3 linked regions of the Danio rerio genome follow. The protein of the gene in region 2 purifies or fractionates together with the protein of the main gene of each other region. This does not show direct contact. Links are inferred from orthologs where the notes say so. Each region holds a gene or a part of one and is shown on either strand. Other genes may lie near its edges.

Region 1 (4,381 bases), on a different chromosome or scaffold from region 2:
AGGAATAGTTTTATTGAAATTTACCAAATATGAAAAAATACTTTAGCAGTTTTTATAGTAAGTACTTTAGTGATATAATTTGATCTCAAATATTATATATTATAAGTAATAAGGTTTTCAAACCATACTATTGTACGTTTAAATTAATCTGTTGCGCTAACTCAATTAATTGTTTAGGTATTACAACACATGTAGTAACAAACTAGTTTCTTAAATATAAAGGTTTTCTACAACTAAATGGTTTATTATACTACAATACTCCACAGTTTGCTGTTGTAAAACCAAAAGTTAATACAGTATTTATTACAGATTTACAGTTTACTATAGTTAATACTTCACTATGCTGTAGCATTCATTAACAAAGTGTTGTAAATACTATATTACAATCAAAAACACTATAGTATTTACAATAAACTGCTATATAAATTCTTTCATGATGTGGGAAAGCACAAAACAAAATCTCAAAGTTTTAATAAAAATCAACACTTGTAGCAGTGCCTGTAGTTAAAAACAACACACACATTATTATAAAAAACAAAGCATAAAATGTACCTACATAGAGACGGCCATGGCTTTCACATACACTTTCCCCACAGGTAACCGAACAGGTTCAGTGTACTTTAGAGTGCTGTCAGCAAAACCTGGCCTCTTTGTCAGCTCCGGCTTACTGCCGTCCAGCGTGTACAGGACCCTCACATCAGGGGATTCTGGGAAATATACATTATAAAACACATGAAAATCAACAAGACGCAGGCTTGTGCTAAAGAGATCAACCAAAAATGTCATTTCCTCTTACTCAAACGGTTCTAAAATGTTATAAATGTCTTTCTTCTGTTAAACATGAAACAAGACATTCTGAAGAATGTTGTAAACCAGCAGCCATTCACTCCCATAGAAGGAACATATTTTGATTGTCTATTGCTGATGCTTTCCAACATTTTTCAAAATATCTTCTTTTGCGTTCAACAGAAGAAAGTTATTCATAAAACTTAGAATAAGTGGAGGTTGAGAGCTTTTTCATTTTGGGGTGAACTGTATCTTTAGAGCTAAACTGACTCACCTGACTTGATCTCAACAGGAGTGCTGGAGTCTATCTCATGCTTGGCTTTACCTGGAGGAGGAATGCGGATGGGGATTATTTGAGGTGCTGCCACTGATCCTGCAGTCATGTTTGTGCTCTTTAACCTGCAATATAGAAAATAAAATATATCATTAGAATGACATAAAATGCTTAACGTTATACTATTATTAGTGCATTAGGCTACTGGATAATAAGAGCTTACACAGACTATTTTTTGTAGATTGAAGTATCTCTAATCACTTTACAATTGAATTGTAAATATTTCGTATATTTATATTAAATGAGTGTTTTTTTCGATGACACTCGAAGCACACGATGTGTACGGTGTGTACAAGACGCTGTAATGTTAGACTGAACACACAGCTGGCTGCGCTATTGGTGGGTCACGTTACCCATGGCAACTGATTAGTGCGCATGCGCTCATTTCCCACAGTCAAATTTAAAGGGGTAACTCACTCCTCTTGACATTAATTCTGTAGCCATTACTTCATATTATTTTCGTCCATGGAAAACACAATTAGAAAAATTCAAAATCGTTTATTATTTTCTTGAAACGGTCTAAAAGGTTGGCTTTTGATTGACCCAGCTCCCTCTACAGAATTGTGGTAAAATTTTAGATTCACACATTCGGACTTTCCTCAATAATTTAACTTTTTTTTAGTTTTTTTTTGCAAATTATAATATAAAATATTAGCAGCCAATGACTATCTAAGCACAACATTGTTCACAGTCAAATAAATATTGCTAATGTTGTTTTGAAGCCGTGTGACTGAATATTCAAAGTACCATGATAAACAATATAGGGAACATGTCACAACTTGTCACTGAATGAATGTGCCAATATAAAACCAACTTTAGCTCAATCTCTAGGGACCAGTAACTGGATCAGATTTTTATATCAATTTTACTTTACAAATTCTCTATTTGTCTATTTTACCTGAAACAATTTCCCGTGTATTCTCATTAAATAAATTTTAACACATGCGTACTTGATGCAATATTTTAAACAAAGTTTTTTTTTTAAATCATATGTCTTTATGTTTGTAAAAGAACACCCAAATCGCCATTCAGCATAATTTATGTAAAAAAAATTAAAAACATTGTGACCTAAAGCATAAAACAAGATCAATGTAATTCTATTTTGAAAGTACAGCATATATACGTTTTATAAAGCTTAAATTAATTATCAAAAGTACAATTAATTAGTGTGTCACAAAAGTCTTGTGTATTTTACTGGGGTATTATACTATAGACCATTTCAAGGGATGTAAACAATAACAATGGCACTAATGTATTTCCTCTATGACATTTAGAATTTCCATAGCTTCCAAGAATAAAAAAGGACCACAAATTGATAAATAATGTTATAGCAGCTGTTTTAAAGTTAATATATGATTAAATTGATTTGTTACAGTTATGAAGTAGTTCAACAACGAGCAGGAAATGTTCATGGGTCAGTGACATTGCCACATCGAAATGGTCTATTTATAACTCTAAATTATATTTTAACGGGAGTCTTCTACAGTGTTGGAGGTAATGCGCATTACAAGTAACGTGAGTTCCGTGATAGTATTACTTTTCTAAGTAACGAATAAAGTAACACATTACCTTCAGAAATTAAGTAATAAAATTTTAGTTACTTTTTAAAAAGTGTAATGTGAGTTACTTTTTAGTTTAAGTAATTCGCTTTAAAAAAATAAATTGCTGAATTAAAATGAATGCCACACTCGATGAGAGAACGCAGGAACAGACAGACATGAAGATGGCAGAGCTATAAATTTCTGCGATGGAAATATTCTCATTACTTTGAACACATGGAGGAAAAGCAAAAGAGTATCATTTGAATAGATTTTACTCCCAAGACAAAAAGTACTAAAGTAGGAAAAGCATTCTTTTAAACATTCATTATGCACCATGTATAGCTCTGGGCTCAGAAACTGATTCGAAGATAACTTTATCCTACATAATTTTTAGGAATTCAGATTTTTTTTTTTTTTAGGAAAAGAATTTTATACAGTGTGTTGTTAACTGTAGAGCTAAAAAATGAAGAAGAAGAAAAAAAACCTGCAATGTCTGCAAGAGATCAGCCAGCCTCACATAGGTCAAAAAAAGTAAAGCAAAAGTAACATAACGCATTACCTACCATAAAAAGTAACTAAGTAATGTAACTAGTTACTTTTTTGGGGAGTAACTCAATACTGTAAAGCATTACTTTCTGAAGTAACTTTCTCCAACACTGGTCCTCTTTAAATCATGAGGATATTTTAGTCACAGATATACTCCCGTACAGTAGGTGGCGATGTAAATCTTTTGTCTAGATTTGAAGCTTTCAGTTTCTGTTGCCATATCCGTGTTTTATCAACGAATGTAGAATACTTCCGTTATAAATACTAAAAGTCGTGTCTTAACTCCGAAATATAATTGGGTTTGACAAAACAAAATGCTTAATTCTCCGTTAAAAAGAGACAAGCCACCGATGTTGCGATCCTATTTGACAGCAGTCTGATGGGTTATTTTTCGCTGTCTGGCAACCCAGTCGCCTGTAAACTCTCCCCGCCTCTCGCACACTGCAATACCACACGGCGTTTCATCTTAGCTTTAAATGGGTCTATGAATGTATTGTTTTGTTGACACTAGGTCTAATACTCCAGTAACTCCAGTCTGATGCACAATGACAGAAGTTAAAGTCAAAAAAGAGTCAACGGACCCTGTAGATATCGAGAATAGGTGAGTTGAACGCAGTTAACGTTACACTATTCTTGCGCATGCGGCCTGTTGACGTTAACAAAACACCGTAGGACAACGTGTAAAGTTACATGGATTTAAAAAAGCAATTAAAGTTTCCATCAAATGTATTGTCTTTTTTTGCCACGTGTACATGTTTAGATACCGAAAAGTCTGACAACATGAAGCAAAATCTCTTTCTTAGTAACTTAGAGAGCTTCGTTGCATTTCATGTACGTTTTGAATGACGAAGTTTTAATAGTGTATGAGTTTGTAAACAACCTCTTTATTAGTATTATTTTAGATGAAGAACAATACATTGCATTTATGTATGTCTATTTAATGCGATATGTTTATTGGCTTGAAGTACTAGTTCAGAATTACGTCAGCAAAATGCATTAAAGTATTTTTGTTGATAAAATAAAAGTGCATCCTTTACATGTTCATCCTTTTCACAAAGACAATACGTTTTTGTTTGTTAGATAGTGTTTCCTGTCTTGCAGCACAGAGGATGCTGGGAAATGTAGTTGTTTGCTGATGTTTGCTGTGTTTTCCTCTTCTGTCATAGGATAAAAG
Region 2 (4,135 bases):
AACCTGAAAATCACATAAAATTCATTTTTAACACTGAATAAACTACATGAGGTGATCATTGTCAGGTTTTCCTGTTGTTCGCCTGTGTGAAATAAAAGCCGTTTCTAACATATCAATTCGAGGTGTTGGTTAGGACAAAAACTCCTTTTAATATGGAAAATATTTGTTCTATCACGTGCCGTTGCTTTTATACTGAACACGGTTTACATTAGGCTTGAGACTCGCTCCTCTTGGTCATCTGGCAACCTGCACTTGCATATGTTTTGATTCTGGAATGTAATTCCTAGTTCAACCACTGGGTGTCAAATTACATACCTTTAAACATTTGCACCTTTAAATGTTATTTACAATAATTGCATTAAGACTCAGGATTAGAAAAAAAGGATTGCATATGTGCCAAAGTGTAGAAATCGCATGTTATGTAATTTCGAAAAAAAAATGACATGATACAATGAGCATAATATAAGCCCTTTAAAGATGTCAGTAAAGAGCTAGTCCTGGGCTCTGAACTGACCTTTCTTGGGAGCCGCTGGACGGATGTAAAACGGGAGCGTCTTCATGGCTCCCCTAAACTCCTGTTTGAGGGCCAGCATGTACTCGGCCTCCTCACCTGCCTGCAGGGGCACTGGCTTCTGATCCAGAGGCTGAACACATCAAACAGCACATTCACATCTGTCTGCTGCTCACACAAACACCTGCTGTCACTCATTTACACATGCCAAGACAGAAATCAGCTTTTAATAGGGCATACAGCTAAAGTCAGAATGATTTTTTTCTTTTTTAAAATATTTCCTAAATAATGTTCAACAGAGCAAGAAAATTTTCACAGTATGTCTGATAACATTTTTTCTTCCGGAGAAAGTCGTATTTGTTTTATTTCGGCTAGAATAAAATCCATTTAAAGGTCAATATTATTAGCCCCATTAAGAAAATTTTTCTTCTTCGATTGGCTACAGAAAAAAAACATTGTTATACAATGATTTGTCTAATAAACCCCAATCAACCTACTGTAGTTAAGCCTTTAAATGTCACTTTAAGCTGAATACTAGTATTTTGAAAAATATCTAGTCAAATATTATGTACTGTCTTTATGGCAGAGACATCTACAGACACTTAAAATGGCAATAAAATTATTTTCTTTACTGTAATAAAAATGTTAATTGAAATAAAAAAAACATACAGTTGAAGTCAGAATTATTAGCCCCTTTTTTATTTTTTTCCCCAATTTCTGTTTAACAGAAAGATATTTTTTTCAGCACATTTCTAAACATAATAGTTTTAATACCTCATCTCTAATAACTGATTTATTTTATCTTTGCCATGATGCACATAATATTTGACTAGATATTTTTCAAGACACTTCTATACAGCTTAAAGTGACAGTTAACGGCTTAACTAGGTAAATTAGGTTAACTAGGCAGGTTAGGGTAATTAGGCAAGTTATTGTATAATGATGGCTTGTAGACTATCGGAAAAAAAATTGCTTAAAGGGGCTAATAATTTTGACCTTAAAATGGTATTTAACAATTAATAACTGCTTTAATTTTCCAGAAGAAACAATATTATCAGACATACTGTGAACATGTCCTTGCCCTGTTAAACATCATTTAAAAAATATAAAAAAGAACAAAAAAATTCAAAGGGGGGCTGATAATTCTGATTTCTACTCTTACTTCCAGCAGGATAACGCGCCATGTCAGAAAGCACAAATCATCTCAGACTTTTTTTTTTAACATCACAATGAGTTCACTGTACTCAAATGGCCACAATATTCACCAGATCACAATCCAATAGAGCATCTTTGGGATGTGGTGGAAAAGGAGATTCACATCATGGATGTTTAGCGGGCAAACTGCTTGATGATATCATGTCAATATGGACCAAAATCTCTGAGGAATATTTCCAGTATCTTTTTGAATCTATGCCACGAATGATTAAGGCAGTTCTGAAGACAAAAGTGGTCCAACCCAAAACTAGTAAGGTGTACCTAATAAAGTGGCCGGTGAGTGTAAGTGGCTTATTATGTAACTGTTAAGGTAAATAAGGTGGAATACTGTGATGATGTGTTCAACAATAAAACAATTTGAATTCTAAAACAAATATTTAAACAAATATGTTGTTGTGATATTAGACACTTTTAAAATGTAATGTTTGCTGAATGTTGAACAGGACCGTTTTTTCAATGCAATTTCTGTGTAGCTCGTGACGCCATCCACATTAAACTATTAAAGCACTGCGTTTATGCTCATGAAATGCAGAATCTGACTCATATCTTGATAATAGCAGTGTATAACAAGCGTATAACAGTTTATAAACGAGGCTTTATTGTTGTGTCTTGAAGACTCACGGGGAACAGAGGTGTCGGCTGGATGCAGGACGGAGGGAGATTTTCACCTTTACCGATCCCAACTATCTCCACAGAGAAAGTGAGCTGCCCTCTGCCCCTTCCTGCCATCATCTGAGACAAAATATTTCACATTTATTAATCATACATCCTCTTTATTTAACTCGTTTATCCGTTATTCACAGTATAAGTTTACTCATTATCAAACAACTAAATTCGGCTAGAAAAGACACATTTAGGCCAAACATGTTAAAATATTTATTTTTACATAAATGTACTTTTGGTAAATGTTTTATTTTCAATGTAACGTTTTATTTGTTTTGACCGAACTGTAGCATATAAACACACCTCTTTCACTCAATGCGGCGAAATCCCTCTTTATTTTCAACTTCGTTTCATTGTGCAAAGGTTTTATTGGTTAATCCGTCAGTAAACGTGGTTGTTTTTAATGTAATTTCAGGTTTTATTGATGTAAAATTGAGCAATAAAATCACCCGCCAAACATCTGCCCGTTTGTTTTTGCCCGCTTCTGAAAACACTCCTGCCAGAAACATGAGCGCGGTCTTTTATGGTTCCGCGTTTCGCGTCAGTTAACGTTAACCAGTGCTACTCAAAGTGAATCATGCTAAACAAACAAATCATTACAAAATATGTAAGGATTCATTACATGTTTTGCATATTGCTCACAGAGATGCTGATGCACATGCTAAAGATTATTATACTGTAGTCAACATTTGAAGTGGATCAAAACCTTTATCAAAGTTGTTCCAAAACTATTCAACAACACACATTTTTAACTTAGGACAAATTTTGATAAACATTTTTGATCTGTTTTAAATGTTGGCTATTATTTATTAAAACTACTGTTTATGTAGCCTATAACTAAGTTACAACACTTTATTACATATGTGAAACATATTTGTCCGTGTACATACAGTATAGATATTTCTGTAATTCATGGCTTTATTGTATAATACTCACAGACACAGTGCGTGTGTGTGCGCGTGCATGCGTGTGTGTGTGTGTGTGTGTGTGTTTACAGTTGAGGTATTGTTATTAGCCCCCCTTAGAATTCTTTTTTCTTTTTAAAATATTTCCCAAATGATGTTTAACAGGGCAAGGAAATTTTCACAGTATGTCTGATAATATTTTTTCTTCTGGAGAAAGACTTAATTGTTTTATTTTGGCTAAAATAAAAGCAGTTTTGAATTTTTCAATGAAAATTTTTAGGGTCAAAATTATTAGCCCTTTTAAGCTTTTTTTTTTTTTTTTTTTTTGATAGTCTACAGGGGTTCTCAAAGTGGGGGACGCGCGACAATGAAGGGGGGGGGGGTCGCCTAGTTATTTCCAAAAATCGAGTTATTTTTATTAAACCATAAGAATTACCATATTTTATCCATAACCTACTGAAGAGAAAAATCTAAATCATCTTTATAGTGATTTAACATTTTAACATCTTTATACACTATATACTGCTGTATTGAGTTACTATAGTAGCTTCTAGTTACTAGTTCTATTGGATTGCGACCCCTGGGGTAATTACATTATGTTAAAGACAGCAATAGCGTCAGATGTAACAGACTGATTTTATAACACCAGGTTAAACTTTCTGGCACATTAACAGCACTGACATACATTAATTCCACAAAGAATAGACATGGGTTTCTGTACTTATAACCACCTCAGAGGATGTTGGGAGTCGCGAGTCACTGGCATTGTCGTTTTGGGTGTCATGGGCTGAAAAGTTTGGGAACCCTTGGATTACAGAACAAACCACTGTTATACAATAAC
Region 3 (2,757 bases), on a different chromosome or scaffold from region 2:
TTGTTTCGTTTCTAGTCCAAATATCTAAAAAATCTTAGATCAAGTGAAAAATGTATTTGTTTTCACCTTTAGAAAAATTAGGTGAAAATTATTAGTTTTTCCTCAAAACAAGTGAAATTATCTGAAAATGGGGAAGGTAAAATAATCATGTTTTCGGAAAACTTAGGAAAAACTTCTCTTTTTTTTTGCATAAATTGTATAAATATTAAATAAAATAAATCTTTGTTACACCTCAAAACTTCATAATTCGTTGTGCACAAACTCTCTTAATTCATTTTCTTTTTCGGCTTAGTCGCCACAGCGGAATGAACTGCCAACTTATCCAGCATATGTTTTACACAGCAAATGCCCTTCCATCTGCTACCCATCTCTGGGAAACAACCATACACAATCATTCACACCCATACACTACGGACAATTTAGCCAACCCAATTCACCTGTACCGCATCTCTTTGGACTGTGGGGGAAACTGGAGCACAAAGAGGAAACTCACGCGAACACGGGGAGAACATGCAAACAAAATAGACATCTAAGAATAGTTCAAAACTAGACTAGTCGTCAAATAGACAGACTATATATGTGTAGTCATTCATTTCTGTCTATTTGACGACTAGTTTAGTTTTGAGCTATTTTTAGACTTCTATAAGATTTTCACTGACAGCCCAAATTTAGCCTTGTTTTAGCCAAGACGACAATGTTTAGACATCTATTAGACATCTTTTAGAATGAAAAAATGCTTGCTGGGAAGGGCTTGAGCTGGCTTATTGAAAATTCCCTGTGCAATTCAGCGCCAATTGCTTAGTGGTTAAGTATACCAACATATGGCACAATAGTGCTCACAGCGACCTGAGTTCGACTCCTAGCTAGGGGTCCTATGCTGATCCTTCCCTCTGTCTGAACCCAATCGTTTCCTGTCTGTCCTTTACTATCCTATCTCAATAAAAGGTAAAAACCAACCAAAATAATTATTTAAAAAAGTCCCTGTGCATTGCTGATGCTTACTTTGGCATTTCTGAATTATTTCTTTAAGGTGACCATAGTTAACCATAGACTTAGTTTAATGTGTTTAAAAAATTGCAGATCTATTACATTCACAAACAGCTACTTTAAACAATATGTTAAAGGTAATTTTTGAAGAAGAAAAAAACATTTATGGGACACTATCATTTCTCAACTCTTTAATTGCCTGCTCGACAAAATGGCCACATATTATTGACTGTTTAAGTAAAGAATGTTTTTTTTTTTTTTTACAAAAAAAAAATATCAAACAAACAATCCTGTTGCACTACTTCACTTCATTTAGGTTTTATTGTAAAAAAAACAAAAAAAACATGTTAAATGAGAATCTGAAATATTTCATGGCATACCTTAAAAATGAAGATGATTTAGTTTTCAAAAATGTACACTTCATAGTTTTAGCTTTTTCATAGTATATGCATTAATTGCAGTACTTTTACCATAAACCGACACGTCATGGCATGTGTTGAAAAAAAAATTCGCATTGAGTATGTTAACTAGCGACATTAGGAGTTAGGTAATGCAATACACATTTTTGTTTCTTGGTGGGGCAGTTAAAGGGTTTAACATTTTGAACATACTTAGCATTGTCAAAAATGGGCAAAGATGTTAAAGACAAAGTGTATGAAAAAAAGATGTGAAGACTCATACCAGCTGGATCTCAACAGCAGTCTGAGGTCTGTGGTTTAAGAGCTGCAGCTTCTCTGCTCTTTGAACAGAAATAGAAAAGAAGTTAACAGGCTGCTTTTTTCACAAGCTAAAATAAAAAATCTGATAAACTAACACTAGACTCATTGTCAAGTGCAAAACCAGCAACTCACACGTGTACTGGTTTCAGAAACATCACAACACAAACCTTCACAATGGTGCATCTCAAACCCAGAATTACAAAGTCACTGCAATGCACTGTATTTACTGTGGCTTTCACACAGTTTGAGGCTTTAAGGTTTTTCCTTTCAAAGAGGTGATTCAGTGCACAAGTTTTAAATGCATGCTTACAAAATAAGAGAAAAAATAAAAAGTACTTAGTAAGTTTGTGAGGCAGCATGGCGGTGAGGAACTCCTTCACTGTCTCTGGTTTCTGATGAACACATGGCGTCTTAGAGAGGTACTTCAGGGTCTGTTGAGGCAGAGATTTCAGACGTTAAAGGGCATGACTGAGCAACACAATCTCAAATCTTTGCCTTGTTTTGGAGATAAGGCTGTGCAATATGACAATTTGTACAGGGGTTGGACAATGAAACTAAAACATTGGCCAATTTAGTGTTGGAGGTTTCATGGCAGGTGATTATGCATTCCACCAGTAAGAGCAGAGTGTGAAGGTGTAATTAGGAGAGTAAAAGCACGGTTTTGCTTAAAAAGTTTTAAATGCACACAACATTATGGGTGACATTTTGGAGTTCAAAAGAGGACAAATTGGTGTGCGTCTCGCTGGCGTATCTCTGACCAAGACAGCAAGTTGTGATGTATCAAGAGCCACGGTCTCCTGAGTAATGTTAGCATACCACCAAAAAGGATGAATCACATCCAACAGTAGTAACTGTGGATGCAAGAGCTGTCTGAAAGGGATGTCAGGGTGCTAACCTGGATTGTATCCAAAAATACATAGAACCACAGCTGCCCAACTCGCTGCAGAATTAAACGTGCACCTCAACTATCCTCTTTCTACAAAACTGTTTGTCGGGAGCTCCACAGGGTCAATATACATGACCGAGCTGATATAGCCCAACCTTTGGTCAC

The links.
Region 1: the proteins of polr3glb (region 2) and polr3f purify together in Homo sapiens (co-immunoprecipitation; 5 studies listed by BioGRID and IntAct, counting the BioPlex papers as one, with this or other methods). This does not show direct contact. The link is inferred for Danio rerio from reciprocal best matches to the Homo sapiens genes POLR3GL and POLR3F.
Region 3: the proteins of polr3glb (region 2) and crcp purify together in Homo sapiens (co-immunoprecipitation; 3 studies listed by BioGRID and IntAct, counting the BioPlex papers as one, with this or other methods). This does not show direct contact. The link is inferred for Danio rerio from reciprocal best matches to the Homo sapiens genes POLR3GL and CRCP.

Annotation. Positions count from the first base shown.
Region 1 is NC_133197.1:25,888,435-25,892,815, reverse strand, and holds the start of polr3f (DNA-directed RNA polymerase III subunit RPC6), read left to right. Parts: upstream 1-1,484; 5' UTR 1,485-1,686; intron 1,687-3,623; exon of another isoform or gene 3,624-3,752; coding exon of another isoform or gene 3,753-3,808; intron 3,809-4,373; coding exon of another isoform or gene 4,374-4,381. Other genes in the region: dzank1 (double zinc ribbon and ankyrin repeat-containing protein 1), read right to left, coding at 557-707, 1,061-1,169. UniProt on the Homo sapiens protein: DNA-dependent RNA polymerase catalyzes the transcription of DNA into RNA using the four ribonucleoside triphosphates as substrates.
Region 2 is NC_133191.1:47,264,859-47,268,993, reverse strand, and holds the start of polr3glb (DNA-directed RNA polymerase III subunit RPC7-like), read right to left. Parts: upstream 2,888-4,135; 5' UTR 2,693-2,887; intron 2,459-2,692; 5' UTR 2,456-2,458; coding exon 2,348-2,455; intron 645-2,347; coding exon 515-644; intron 1-514. UniProt on the Homo sapiens protein: DNA-dependent RNA polymerase catalyzes the transcription of DNA into RNA using the four ribonucleoside triphosphates as substrates. Specific peripheric component of RNA polymerase III which synthesizes small RNAs, such as 5S rRNA and tRNAs.
Region 3 is NC_133196.1:33,903,876-33,906,632, forward strand, and holds part of crcp (DNA-directed RNA polymerase III subunit RPC9), read right to left. Parts: intron 2,138-2,757; coding exon 2,043-2,137; intron 1,727-2,042; coding exon 1,669-1,726; intron 1-1,668. UniProt on the Homo sapiens protein: DNA-dependent RNA polymerase catalyzes the transcription of DNA into RNA using the four ribonucleoside triphosphates as substrates.